Linked DNA regions of Cricetulus griseus. The protein of the gene in region 1 interacts with the protein of each later gene in a pairwise test. Links are inferred from orthologs where the notes say so. Each region holds a gene or a part of one and is shown in the gene's direction. Other genes may lie near its edges.

What was found.
Region 2: the proteins of Trim23 (region 1) and Troap interact in binary tests that used the Homo sapiens proteins (3 or more experiments, as listed by UniProt). The two-hybrid records come from large-scale screens. The link is inferred for Cricetulus griseus from reciprocal best matches to the Homo sapiens genes TRIM23 and TROAP.

The regions. Positions count from the first base shown.
Region 1 is NC_048595.1:322,445,190-322,451,942, forward strand, and holds the start of Trim23 (E3 ubiquitin-protein ligase TRIM23), read left to right. Parts: upstream 1-2,553; 5' UTR 2,554-2,628; coding exon 2,629-2,709; intron 2,710-4,003; exon of another isoform or gene 4,004-4,324; coding exon of another isoform or gene 4,325-4,357; intron 4,358-4,984; exon of another isoform or gene 4,985-4,999; coding exon of another isoform or gene 5,000-5,035; intron 5,036-6,753. Other genes in the region: Trappc13 (trafficking protein particle complex subunit 13), read right to left, coding at 1,884-1,929.
Region 2 is NC_048595.1:395,514,050-395,519,947, forward strand, and holds part of Troap (tastin), read left to right. Parts: intron 1-667; coding exon 668-825; intron 826-907; coding exon 908-1,045; intron 1,046-1,394; coding exon 1,395-1,474; intron 1,475-1,815; coding exon 1,816-1,991; intron 1,992-2,344; coding exon 2,345-2,445; intron 2,446-4,171; coding exon 4,172-4,255; intron 4,256-4,406; coding exon 4,407-4,466; intron 4,467-4,873; coding exon 4,874-5,008; intron 5,009-5,153; coding exon 5,154-5,784; intron 5,785-5,898. UniProt on the Homo sapiens protein: Could be involved with bystin and trophinin in a cell adhesion molecule complex that mediates an initial attachment of the blastocyst to uterine epithelial cells at the time of the embryo implantation.

The DNA.
Region 1 (6,753 bases):
TTACCTAGGACAATGTGGGGAAAACAGTATCAAAGAGGTTTAATGTAAAGCTCTTGTCCTGTTTGTTTGATTAAGTATTATTTACTAGGCATCTTGTGTTTCTAAAAATGAAGAATAACAACACATAAAATTCCCCAGCATTGGAATTTTTAGTAAGGTCAAAGTTGTGTGACATCACACTTAGCAACTAATATAACTTTTAAACTTATATTGAAGTCATAAGGTAATGTTCTCTGAAAAAACTGTTTCATTTGATAGGAGGCAAACAGGGCATTTTAGAAATATGAGGCAGGCCTTGTTGAATTATTGCCTTGAACTCTTACTAGATATGTAAGTAGTAAGCTGCCAGACCGTAAAAGATAACTAATATCTAGTCCAAACACTAGATGTAAGACTGAGACAATGACCTTGCAGTGGTGGCTCATGCCTTTAATCCCAGCACTCAGGAGGCAGAAGCAGTCGGATTTCTGAGTTTGAGACCAGTCTAGTCTACAAGAGCTAGTTCCAAGACAGCCTCCAAAGCCACAGAGAAAACCTGTCTGTGTATATATATATATACCAAGTTCCTTTCATACACATATAATCTATTTTAGTCTGGATCATGTAGAAACCTACAGGTCTGTTTGTCTTATTACCCAGTGTTGCAACCTTGCTTAGTCCCACATTCAGAGACAGTCATGTTCACAGCATCTATCGATAGGTGATTATGAGCTTCTGGAATGTAAGATGTACAGATCACAAAGTGTTGGGGAGGACATGTAGTATAACAAAAAGGATGCCTTAAGGAAGGCCAGAGCAATGCAATCTAGCTCAAATGTCTTCTAAGCATTTCCTAGTGAAAGGCACAACCTCATAACTGTATATTCCAAAAGCAACCAAGTGCATTGTAGCAGTAGAAAACATAAAATAACTGAGCACTGGTAGCACACGCCTTTAATCCCAGCACTCAGGAAGCAGAGGCAGGTGGATCTCTGTGAGTTCAAGGCCAGCCTGGTCTACAAAGTGAGTTCCAGGAAAGCCAGGGCTGTTACACAGAGAAACCCGGTCTTGAAAAACCAAAACACCAAAAAACATAAAATAAAGCTGAAAATATTTTAAATAAAAGGTTTTGATAAGCAAAGTTAAGGAAAATCTGCCCTGCCAGCTTTCTTCTGGTTAAATTAAACCATTAAAAGTTATTCAAAACTGCTGTGTACAGAAAATTAAAGTGTAATGTGTAATATATTCAACAAATCTAAGAAGTATTGGGTGTATTACCATTTATTTTATAAATCCTTGGCATTAGCACGTGATATTACCTACAGCTAAGCGAAAGCCTGGTAACTTTGTGCCTGCTACATGAACGGATAAAAATGTAATAAAAAATTGCTCTAAACCGGGTGATGGCGCACACCTTTAATCCCAGCACTAGGGAGGCAGAGGCAGGTGGATCTCTGTGAGTTCGAGACCAGCCTGGTCTACAGAGCGAGTGCCAGGATAGGCTCCAAAGCTACACAGAGAATCAATGTCTCGAAAAACTAAAAAAAAAAAAAAAAAACAAACAAAAAAACAAAAAACAAAAAAACCCCACAAACCAACCAACCAACCAAACAAACAAAATAAATAACTTGCTTTAATAGCCAACTGAAATTTATTCTGGTTCACAGAGATCTCCCCAGCAGGATCAAGGCATGAGCTTCTGTGGATAAAATCTGGTGGCTGCGGTAGCACAGATCACAGAGGAATTTAGGATTGCATTTCATTCTAGAAGCCATCTCTCAGTATTTAGCAAGAGGGCGAGCCCTGCCGTGTTTAGGGATAAGGCTCACGTTGGAAATCTTTCAAATAGTGAGGGGAAGGGGGGCGGGGGAAGAGTAAAGAGACTTAGGCACGTAACAGTTTACCTTTTAGCGCCAGCAGGTGCTCCTGTTTCGGGGGATTCACTTCCATCTTGACATGCACTTCTGGTCTCAGGCTCAGGAGTTTCACCCTGGGTCGGGAAGGAAACTGCAAAGCACAAGTCCCGGAAGACGCGGCCTCAAACACACGCCCAACTTCTTTCGGCTCGTACTAACTTAACTTCTCTTTGCATTAAATTTGGTACGGCCCCAGTGAAAATCTTTTCACGAAGGCCATTCCTTCGCTCAGAATTAAACAGACTGACTTCAAGGAGGCACTTTCAGCTGACAATACACGGCCTCCCAAAGGCTTACACTCCGCGATGGGGCGCGTGGGGCGGGGGGAGGATACTCGAGTGGCATGCTGGGATTTGTAGTTTATTTTATTCAAATTAGAGGTGTCGGCGCTGGGATTAGCTGATTTCTTCACTCTGGCTCGTTTCAGTACTGGAGGAAAAATCATTACAGGATCGACACTTTCACTCTAAAATTTTATTTATGCTCCATCCATTCTTCTTGTTTTCTCCCTTCCCTCAGTTGCTCGCAGGCACCGTCATGAAAAACAAAGTGTCCACGCGCAGATCGTACAGCCAATGACTGACGGAAGGGAAAAGGCCGGAGGAGGCGGAGCGGCGCCCCGCCCGTACTGCGCATGCGTGCCTGCGGCGTGCGCTGAGGCTTCTGGGTAGGTCGCTCAACCCCTCCTCTCAATTAAAGGCTCTGCTGCTGCTGTGGCGCGGCTTCTTCCAGGATGGCTGCCCTAGCTGTAAACAAGCCCGGAGCCGGAGTAGACAGTGGGCGGCAGGGCAGCCGGGGGACGGCTGTGGTGAAGGTGAGGGAACTTGCGTGCTCTGTTCTTCACCTGCGGCCTCCCTTCGGTTCGTCCTGGAGACCTGGTCGCGACTCTGCGGCCCAGGCTTGGCCGGGCGGGATGCGCGGCCTCTGGAACCGGGTGGGCGTTTCAAGCCCTTCTTGCCCCGCCGCAGTCCTTGGCCTGCTGGTCTAAAGTTGCCTGGATCGGGCTGTTTGTGAAAAGCACCGCGTAGGCCTGTGGAGTTGACCTGGATTGGTGTTCCCCTGCTCTTCTGTTTCTAGTGAAGCCTCCACAGGCATTAGTTGGCGTAGATGTATTAAACAGCCTTTACGGTAGACAAGTACTGTGGTAAATGTTTCAGCTCGCCAGTATCCACTTAAAAGGGAGATGTTAATTAGCATTTTACATGGAATGAGCCCTAGGTTTAGTGAGGGCCCAGCGTTTACTGCTTGTAAAAGTCTGCTTTTCAACATTGCATTGCTGTTATAATCATATATGTACATTTTTCAGCCGCCCTTTGCCTCTGAACAGAGCGGTGTGAAAAGTCTCCAACTGCAGCATAGGCGGGGTTTAACACTAGAAGTATGGTGTACCTTCTGCTTGTAAGATTCTACCATATATTTATCAAATGCTTTTACTAGAGATCGAGGACATCAAGCTCATTTCCCCCACCCACTGTAACATAGATCTGAAAGGAGCGAGTGGTTTACAGTAACTTTGAAGATCTTCAGCAACCAAGAGATTTGTATTCTCATTCTGAGTGTGTTGACAACAGTATAGTTTTTAAATTCCCAGAACTGATGGTAAAGTACACTTGGATTGATAGCAGTGAACCAAGTACAGTTGGTCACTACTCGTTAAACGGTAGATACCTTTTCTTTTTTATAACAAAGGTCTTTTTTGAGGAATTTATGCTAATTATTATTAGTCCTTTTTAATTGGTTGTTGATATAGTTAACTTTTTTATATTGAGTTGAATTCAAATTACATTGAAGGTACAAAGATCTGAAACGTAGAAGAGCCCTCATTATTACTCATATTTTATGTTTGAGATTATTATTTTGAATTGTGCTTTTGCCAAATAGAGAATTCCTGCAGAATGTTCTGTGAATCTAAAGGGTTTTTTTTTGTAATTGGAAGTAGTAACGTGTCTTATATCCTCCTTAACACTTTCTTTCCACTTTACTCATATTCTGTGTATATACATAAGAAACTTTAATCTTTTTTTTTTTTTTTTGGTTTTTCGAGACAGGGTTTCTCTGTGTAGCTTTGGAGCCTATCCTGGAACTAGCCCTTGTAGACCAAGCTGGCCTCGAACTCAAAGAGATCCACCTGCCTCTGCCTCCGGAGTGCTGGGATTAAAGGCATGCACCACCAACGCCCGGCAGAAACTTTAACCTTTAATGGCCTGCAGTTATGGCATATGAGTGCACTATAATTTATCTTTCAGTTTAGTATCTATATGTACATTTACTTTGTTTTTAATTCTTTAATGATATAAATGATGCGTTAAAGAATAACACATTGATCTTGTTACATGTGGGCTGGGGATGTGACTTAGTAGTAGAACATTTGCCTGACATATGCAAAAAATCTGGGATCCCCAACAGTAGAGACAACAATATCAACAAGGATGAGAACGGTTGGATTTTGCCTCATGTGTGAGGTAATTTAGAATAAATTCCTTAAACTGCTAAATTGCTTCCATGGATGCTGTTGTTACTCAATAAACTTTTCATATCAGTGAAGTTGTTTTCCTACATTTCCTCCAACTGCTGCATTTTATTAATACAAAGCATTAATAACTTTTTGAAAAAGTATCTTGGTGTAGTTTTTCTTTGCACTTTAATGAGTTAGAGCGAATTCTTTTTTTTTTTTTTTTTTTTTTTTGGTTTTTCTAGACAGGGTTTCTCTGAGTAGCTTTGGAGCCTATCCTGGCACTCGCTCTGGAGACCAGGCTGGCCTCGAACTCACAGAGATCCACCTGCCTCTGCCTCCTGAGTACTGGGATTAAAGGCGTGTGCCACCAACGCCCGGCAGCGAATTCTTAATATAAAGTTTTCTTTATATAGCTTAATATAATTTATGATACTTAATTTGTCTCCTTTTTTTTCTGTGAACTATACTACGTTTAACTTTTTTTTAACTATACCAATATTCAAGGCTACTATGAATTACCAGTTTAATTGCAGTAAAAGATGCTTGTATCTCAATTTCTCTTATTTTTTTAAAGATTTATTTATTTGCTATGTATACATGTGTTTTGTCTGCATGTACATCTGCACACCAGAAGAGGGCATCAGATCCCATGGGACTACAGTTACAGGTGGTTGAGAGCCACCATGTGAGTACTGGGAATTGAACTCACGACCTCTAGAAGAGCAGCCAGTACTTTTAACCACTGCATCTCAATTTCTAGGTGTAAATGTATTAGAGAATCAAGTTTAAAATTGTAATGTGTCTGATGAGATTTCCACTCTTAATTTTTCTATTTTTAATTTTGTCTTGTGTGTGTTTGATGGTGGGCTGAATTGTTTTTGTTTTTAATTCTTATTTTGTTGGATTTTATTTACATAAGCACATAGGTACTTGCTATTTGGAGTGTACTGTTCTGTGTTCTTGTTCTAAGAAGGAGAGACATGCTAGCCAATGAAAGTATTGAAGTGTTTGAGTTGACAAGCAGATACGTATTCAGAGTACGTGGAAACCCAGAGGATAAGGTAGTTGTTGCAGCTGGAGTGAGGGATGGGTAGAACAAGAGCTAGGTACTTGGGAATTTTTTGATTTATGAAAATAAAAACCTTAAAAAGGAAGCCAGAAGGTAGATGTTTAGCAGTTTTCTCAGTATTAATTAGTATAAAGCAAGAGTCCTATCCAGCGACACACTTGGACCATAGGATTCTGTAGTGTGGCTTGATCGGGAGACAATGGAATAATTCATTGTGAATATTTTTAAAAAGTAATTAAAACTGAAAACAACACAAACAATAGTTAGTTGTAAAGGCACTGAAAATGGTATGCTATGATAGTTACAGTTTATGATTATTTATAAAATAATTAACCCATGGACCTGAGATTCAGAGTGAGTCAGTTCTCACAGCTTTTTTTTTTTTTGAGTGCCTTTTGGTACATATAGTATTTGGTATATATACCTGTGATTACAACTAGATAGTCAAATATTTTCCAAGCCAGAGTTACTTATTAATAAAGAATAGGAATTGAAATTTAATTTTCAGCTAATCTGGCTTTTGCCCTTACATTATTTTGTGAAGTTTAGAAGATAATTGAATATTCCTTGGAGACATTCTTACAAATTTTTTTATAGTTTAGAAAATTGAGTGTCATCCCAATACACATTTTAGATTTTTTTTTAAAGATTTTATTTATTTATTATGTATACAACATTCTGCTTCCATGTCTATCTGCACAGTATAAGAGGGCACCGGATCTCATAATGGATGGTTGTGAGCCACCATGTGGGTGCTGGGAATTGAACTCAGGACCTCTGGAAGAACAGTCAGTGCTCTTAACCACTGAGCCATCTCTCCAGCCCTAGATTTTTTTTTTTTTTTTAAAGTCAATGGTGTTTTAACTGGACATAATGATACATCCCATAATCTAGCATTTGGGAGGCAGAGGCAGGAGGATCACTGTATATTTGAGGCCAGCCTGGACTGAGGTCCATTCAGAGCTGCTCAGTGAAATGTCATCTAACAAGGAAATAAACCAGGGTTTAGAGAGATGACTAATCTGTTGAGAATACTGACTGCTGTTTCAGAGGATCTGGTTTGATTTTTCAGTACCCACATGGTGGCTCACAACCATCTGTTACTCTAGCTCCAGGGAATCTTATACTCTCTTCTGACTTCTGTGGGCACTATACCAACAAGGTGCGCAGACATATATTCAGGCAAACATCCATACACAAAAATAAATCTCAAAACTTTTTTTAAAAAAGGAAAAGCAAAGTGAATGATTGTTGATGGGGGTTTCAGTAGAATTATAAATTGCTACATGTTCAGTTTTCAGGAGATTAGATTATGTTTCTTATATTAATTTGCA
Region 2 (5,898 bases), about 73 Mb from region 1:
TTTGTTTTATGTGAGTCCGTGTGAATGCAGTGTCCATGGGGATCAGAAAAGAGCATTGGATACCCTAGAGCTGAAGTTATAGCCAGCTGTGAACTGCTATGTGGGTGCCAGAAATAGAACCCTCCCGGAAGAGCTGCCCATACTCGTAACCACTAAGCCATGTCTCCAGCCCTCAGTGATATCTTCTGTATGACAAAGAGTAATAGCTTACATGAAATTCTTTTTCTTTTTTTAAGATTTTATTTAATTTTTATGTATACAACATTCTGCTTCCATGTACATCTGCACACCAGCAGAGGGCACCAGATCTCATAACAGATGGTTGTGAGCCACCATGTGGTTGCTGGGAATTGAACTCAGGACCTCCGGAAGAGCAGTCGGTGCTATTAACCTCTGAGCCATCTCTCCAGTCCCCTACATGAAATTCTTACATGAGCTAGGTTCCCCCAACTCTCCCCCATCTCTCAAGGCTGACTTTTAGCCCTGTATGCTGGGGAGGCTGGCCTTGAACACCTGGCTCTCCTGCCTTGGTATACTAAAATCTGAGATTACAGGTGTGTACACTAAGCCTGGCTTGGATATGTTTCTTTTGTTCACTATTGCTAGAGTCCTCTGCCCCTCAGCCTCTGCTATTCCTATCGTTCTAATCCTATCCCTTTCCTTTCAGAGGCTTCAGGGGCTATAGAATTTGTTGCTGACCCTGCAGCCCTGGCCACCATCCTGTCAGGTGAGGGGGTGAAGAGCTGTCCCCTGGGGCGCCAGTCCAGTCTGGCTCAGAGAGTACTAGTTCGAGGGAGCAAGGGAGGCACCACCCAGAAGGGCAAGGTAATGAGAAAGATGTGAGGTCAGGATGGGGTGGACTTGGGGAATTCTGAGCTCTTGCTGATAGCCTCTGTTGGCATCTCAGGGTGCTAGGTCTTCCGCATACCTGGCCCCCAGAACTCCCATCCATCAACTGGATCCAGCCAGGGCTTCCTGCTTCTCAAGACTGGAGGGATCAGGATCCCGAGGCCACACTTTGTTCCCACAGAGGATAGAGACTCTAGTGAGTACCCTTGAGGAGCTGACACTTAGTCTTTCTAGAAACTTCTTCCTGGAACAAAGGTACTGCCCTAGAACAGTACCTCCTAGATGAAAATGGGTTCTGAGCAGTGCTGTGCAAGAATTTAATCCCATCACTCGGTAGGCAGAGGCAGGAGGATCTCTGTGAGTTCGAGGCCAGCCTGGTCTCCAGAGCAAGTGCCAGGATAGGCTCCAAAGCTACACAGAGAAACCCTGTCTCGAAGGGAAAAAAAAAAAATCGAGAACGGGTTCTGTTGGGAGAGGTGGGTTGGGGTTTGTGTCTAGTTTGGGGCCTATTTCTCACTCTGCTTTCATGTCTTGGTCTGGATTAGAGTCTACCTTCAGGATCTTCTCATCCCACCACTCGCCCCAGTTTACAGGAGATAAGAAGAGAGACGTGTGACAATAGCAGGTAAGGAAGGCTATAGATACCTTTTCAACCCATGAGGGGATATGCAAAACATGTGAGGTGAGCCCCTGGAACAGGTCAGGCTTTCCTAGCCAGGCTTTAATATGAAGGAGCAGAGGGATCGATGTGTGAAATGCTGTTTCTTTTGGCTACGGCATAAACTGACAATAAATGGGTTTTGAGTCAAATTCCTGACCCTTATCTACCTATCTGAGTTCTAGGATAACATTTGTACCATTAGAGGCTATTGTGAAAATGCAATGAGATGGTATTTGTAAAGCACTTAGCAGATGCCCAGCCCTTGCTTGATACTCAGGGATGGCTACTGTACTTACTGCCAACAGGACTTCAGCAAACCAGGCCTCCAGATTGCTCCTGAAGACCCCAGTTCAGCCTGGTGAGTGTGTCTGGATATGGGAGAAGGAAAAAAAAGCCAGGGCGAGTGAACTGCCTGCACCAGGAACAAGACAAGGAAAAGGCCAACAGGTCTTGAGCAACAGCGGAGTGAGGAAGCAGGGAGGTAGGGAGACTAGGTCAGAAGAGTTGGAGATCTAGCTTAGTGGTAGAGTGCTTGCCTAGCAGTCACATCCCAGAAACACACAACCATGCACAAGACCTCCTACATAGGGCAGAGGTTGGCGTGGTTGAACTGTGTTTCTGCCCTCTCCCTGCCACTTCCTGCAAAACTAAATTTCCACTGTGTTCTATCCCAATCCCTTATGAGCCATGGTCACCTCTGGCCTACTTGGGGCATTTGATCAGTGTTTACTAAGATATTATTAGGCTGTCAGAGAATGCTGAATGAGTAGCCTTTGATGTTCTAAATACTAGAGCAAATGTTCTATCTCCTCCCATCTTCTTTATCTCTCACAGAACATGAGGCTGTCCCTCATTCAGATGAAAGAGGAAGAGCCCTTCTGGGTCTGGCTCAACGAGTACCATTAAGAGGAACTGGAGAAAGAATGCACACCAGGGTGAGATGAGACACCTCCCCACGCCTACCCCCACCCCCACCCTCACCCCCACTCCCAATGGGGGTAGAGTGTTCAGCAGATGCATCCAGGGTCATGGGTAGAGTTGGACAGACCTGGGACTCAGGTTGTTATTAGGTCTTGGTTTGCTGGAGTTGGGACCAAGCCTTGTTCAGAGTGGATCTGATTCCCTTTGTTAGGCATCTGGGGCCTGGGGTGAAAGGTGACAGACAGGCATGCATGTGTGTCACCATGAAATCAGTGCTAAGCCTAGACACATACAATGCTTACCGACCAAAAATAATAATTACTGCTGGGCAGTGGTGGCACCCGACTTTAATCCCAGGACTTGAGAAGAAGAGGCAGGAGGATCTCCAAGGCTAGCCTGGTCTACAGAATGATTTCCAGGACAATCTCCAAAGCTATACAGAGAAACCCTGTCTTGAAAAACAAAAAAAAAAAACAAAACAACAAATAAATTCCTTCAAGTATTTACTAACTGGCCTTTGAATGCAGACATGGTTGTAGATTCAGAATATGCATATTCTAGAAGAGGGAAGCATAAAAATAAACACAAATATATATAGAATGTCAGGAGATAATGCAGCCTCTCTGAAATTAAATACTTAAGGCACTGAGAGGATCTTGGAGGGGGAATTGGTGTCATAAATGGTAGCTTAGAGCCAGGCATGGTGGTACATGACTGTAGCCCAGCTCTCTGGAGGCAGGAGAATTGCAAGTTAGAGGACAGCTTGGGCTGCTCCACAGTGAATTCCGGGATAACCTGGGATATGCAGCAAGACCCTGTCTTTAAAAATAAAGATGGAGGGGACAGATTCGTATTTAGGACTGGTAACTTAGCTCACACACAAAGCCATTTAACCAAGAGGGCTGCAGGTACAAAGGCCTTGAGGGGAGGGTGCACCTTGTGTTTTAAGCCAGCAAAATAGGCCAGTGAGTCTGAAGCCTAGAAAAGAGGAAGAAGCTTCAAGACGAGTTTATAGAGACAAAGGTGAGAGCAGGTAAGGAACTAGCCAGTGTAAGTCCTTGGCTATTTCTTAAGCTGAATGGAAAGCCCAGGGGAGGAAGTGAGAATAGAGAACAATACTTGATTTCTCTCTTAAAAGAATCTTCAAGCACTGCACATGGTAGCACATATGTATAATCCCAGCCTTAGGAGGTCAAGGCAGGAGGATCGGAATTTCCAAGCTGGCCTCTTGGTCACATGAAACCCTATCTTAAACAAAAACAAAACAAAAAAACAAAGAGTGGCTGCTGCTGTGGGGAGAACAAGACATAGGAAGGTGAATTCAGAAAGGCCTCTTCCTGCCCCTTTCCGCCACGGGTCAATGGTGACTCCCATGCCTTCTCCAGGCTCATGCCTGGCCATGTAGTGCCACCCTTTGTCACCCACCCATCACCTTTAGACAGGCTCAGATGTTCCCTCCCCAGGCCTCTTAGCTGTGGTTTGTATCGACAACTCTTTTTTTTTTTTTTTTTTTTTGGGGGGGGGGTTTCAAGACAGGATTTCTCTGTGGCTTTGGAGCCTATCCTGGAACTAGCTCTTGTAGACCAGGCTGGTCTCAAACTCACAGAGATACGCCTGCCTCTGCCTCCCGAGTGTTGGCATTAAAGGCGTGCGCCACCAACGCCCCCCGGCTTGTATCGACAACTCTTAGGCTGGGCAGGAGCTTAGAGAGCCCTGCTCACTCCCCATGTCTCTCCTTAGACCTCATATTCATCCTTGAAACAGCTCACCATTCGGCCGAAAACCCAATGCACGCCCCTCCGATCATTACCCAGAGTTCAGCAAGTAAGAGAGCAGAGGAGGCAACTGGTGTGGGTCAAGACTAGGGAGGAAGGGAGGAGGGCAGGTACTGTGTGGGGACAGGGGTCGGGGAGGAGATAAGACAGGTGAGGGGACCAGATGTCTCACCCATGGGTGATTGTCCTGTCTGATGCAGACCCAGTGGCTGAGTGGCCTCTCCCCTCACTCCTCCCCTGAAGAGCCTGCCATGCCTTGGGTAAGTGTCAAAAGCCTTCCTGTACTGAGGTCTGTGATGCTGTCCCGCTGGCCTGGAGGGCTGGCAGCCTTTGGTTTGAGGTAGGTGTACTGTCTAAAGAATCTGCTTGCCTCTTGCCTCTCCATCTGTCCTTCCTTCCCATGTTTAGAATATCTGTCTCTCTGTCTTCTGCTAGTCTTGGAAGAAATTTCTTGTGTGTATGAACATCTCAACAACCCGGGTCTCAAACTTTTGATTGTCCTTCCTCAGCTTCTTGAGAGCTAATGTCAGCTCTATTATAGGCCTGCGTTATCATACCTGATATTTAGAGCCACCAGGGAGCTTTGACCCTTTCCTCAAGAGGGTGCAGACAGTCTTCCCACCTTAGTCTGGCTTCTTCACCCACCCCCTTTCCTTCTATGTGGCAGGAGCAGATTGCTGTAAGGTTGTTTGACCAGGAGGGTTGTATCACACTGCAGAAGGGGTCTGGGAAACCCTCTGTGGCAAGTACTTCTGGACCTCACCCCAGCAAAACCCCCAACCACCAGGAGCTGAAGATGCAGGTGGGCCTGTAATGACAGCTCTTTGATGGCTTCTGCACCCTGAGAAGACTGGGAAGGGGGAGCTGGGAGGAAAGGTGTGGGGAGATGACAATGTAGGGAGACCTTGTGGACAGGTGACACATTGGGATACTCTCTCCCACCACAGCGCATCAGTCTTCTGCAGCAACTCCTGCAACAGGAGATAGAGGGGCTGGCAGTGGACAAATGTGCCCCTCTTAATGGAGGCTCTGCTCTAGAGATGACTAAACTTCAGCCCTTGCTGGCTGACATTTCTAAAACTCTGAGTGCTCCAGAACACAATTCTGGAACTTCCCTTCTTGGACTGTCAAAACACTCTGGTGTGACAGAGCCGTACCTTGCAGAAGAGTGTGAGGAGCCACAGCCCCACCTTGCAGAAAAGCATGGGGAACCACAGGCCTGCACTGGGAAGGAGACTAAGGTGGTTCAACCCAGCTCTACCACAGAACCACAGCCTCCAGTGCCATGCTGGATAGCTGGGCCAGAGCAACTAGACCCTTGTCTTCCAGCACTGCCTGGGCCTCTTCTGCCCAGTTCTCAAGGACAGGCTGGTTCCCTTGAGGCCTGCCCTAGGATAGAGCTGGGACCATCAGCAGCCTACTCTCTGGAAGCTAGCAATCCAGAGTCTAGCCCACAGCCCTGTTGCAGTCAGGGGCCTCCAGCAACCACCAGCTTGACCTTCTCTTCACAAAGTTCACTCTGTGCCAGGCCCCCTATCCACTCACTCCAGCCTTTGAGGTCCCCAGCAGGCCAGTCAGGTAAGGAATTGGCTGGGAGAGGGTGTGAAGAGAAAGTTCTGTTTCTTGGGAATAGGCCTTGCCTTGCACTGGGCAATGCTATGCTTTCTTTCCCTTGCCTCCCATATAAAGAGC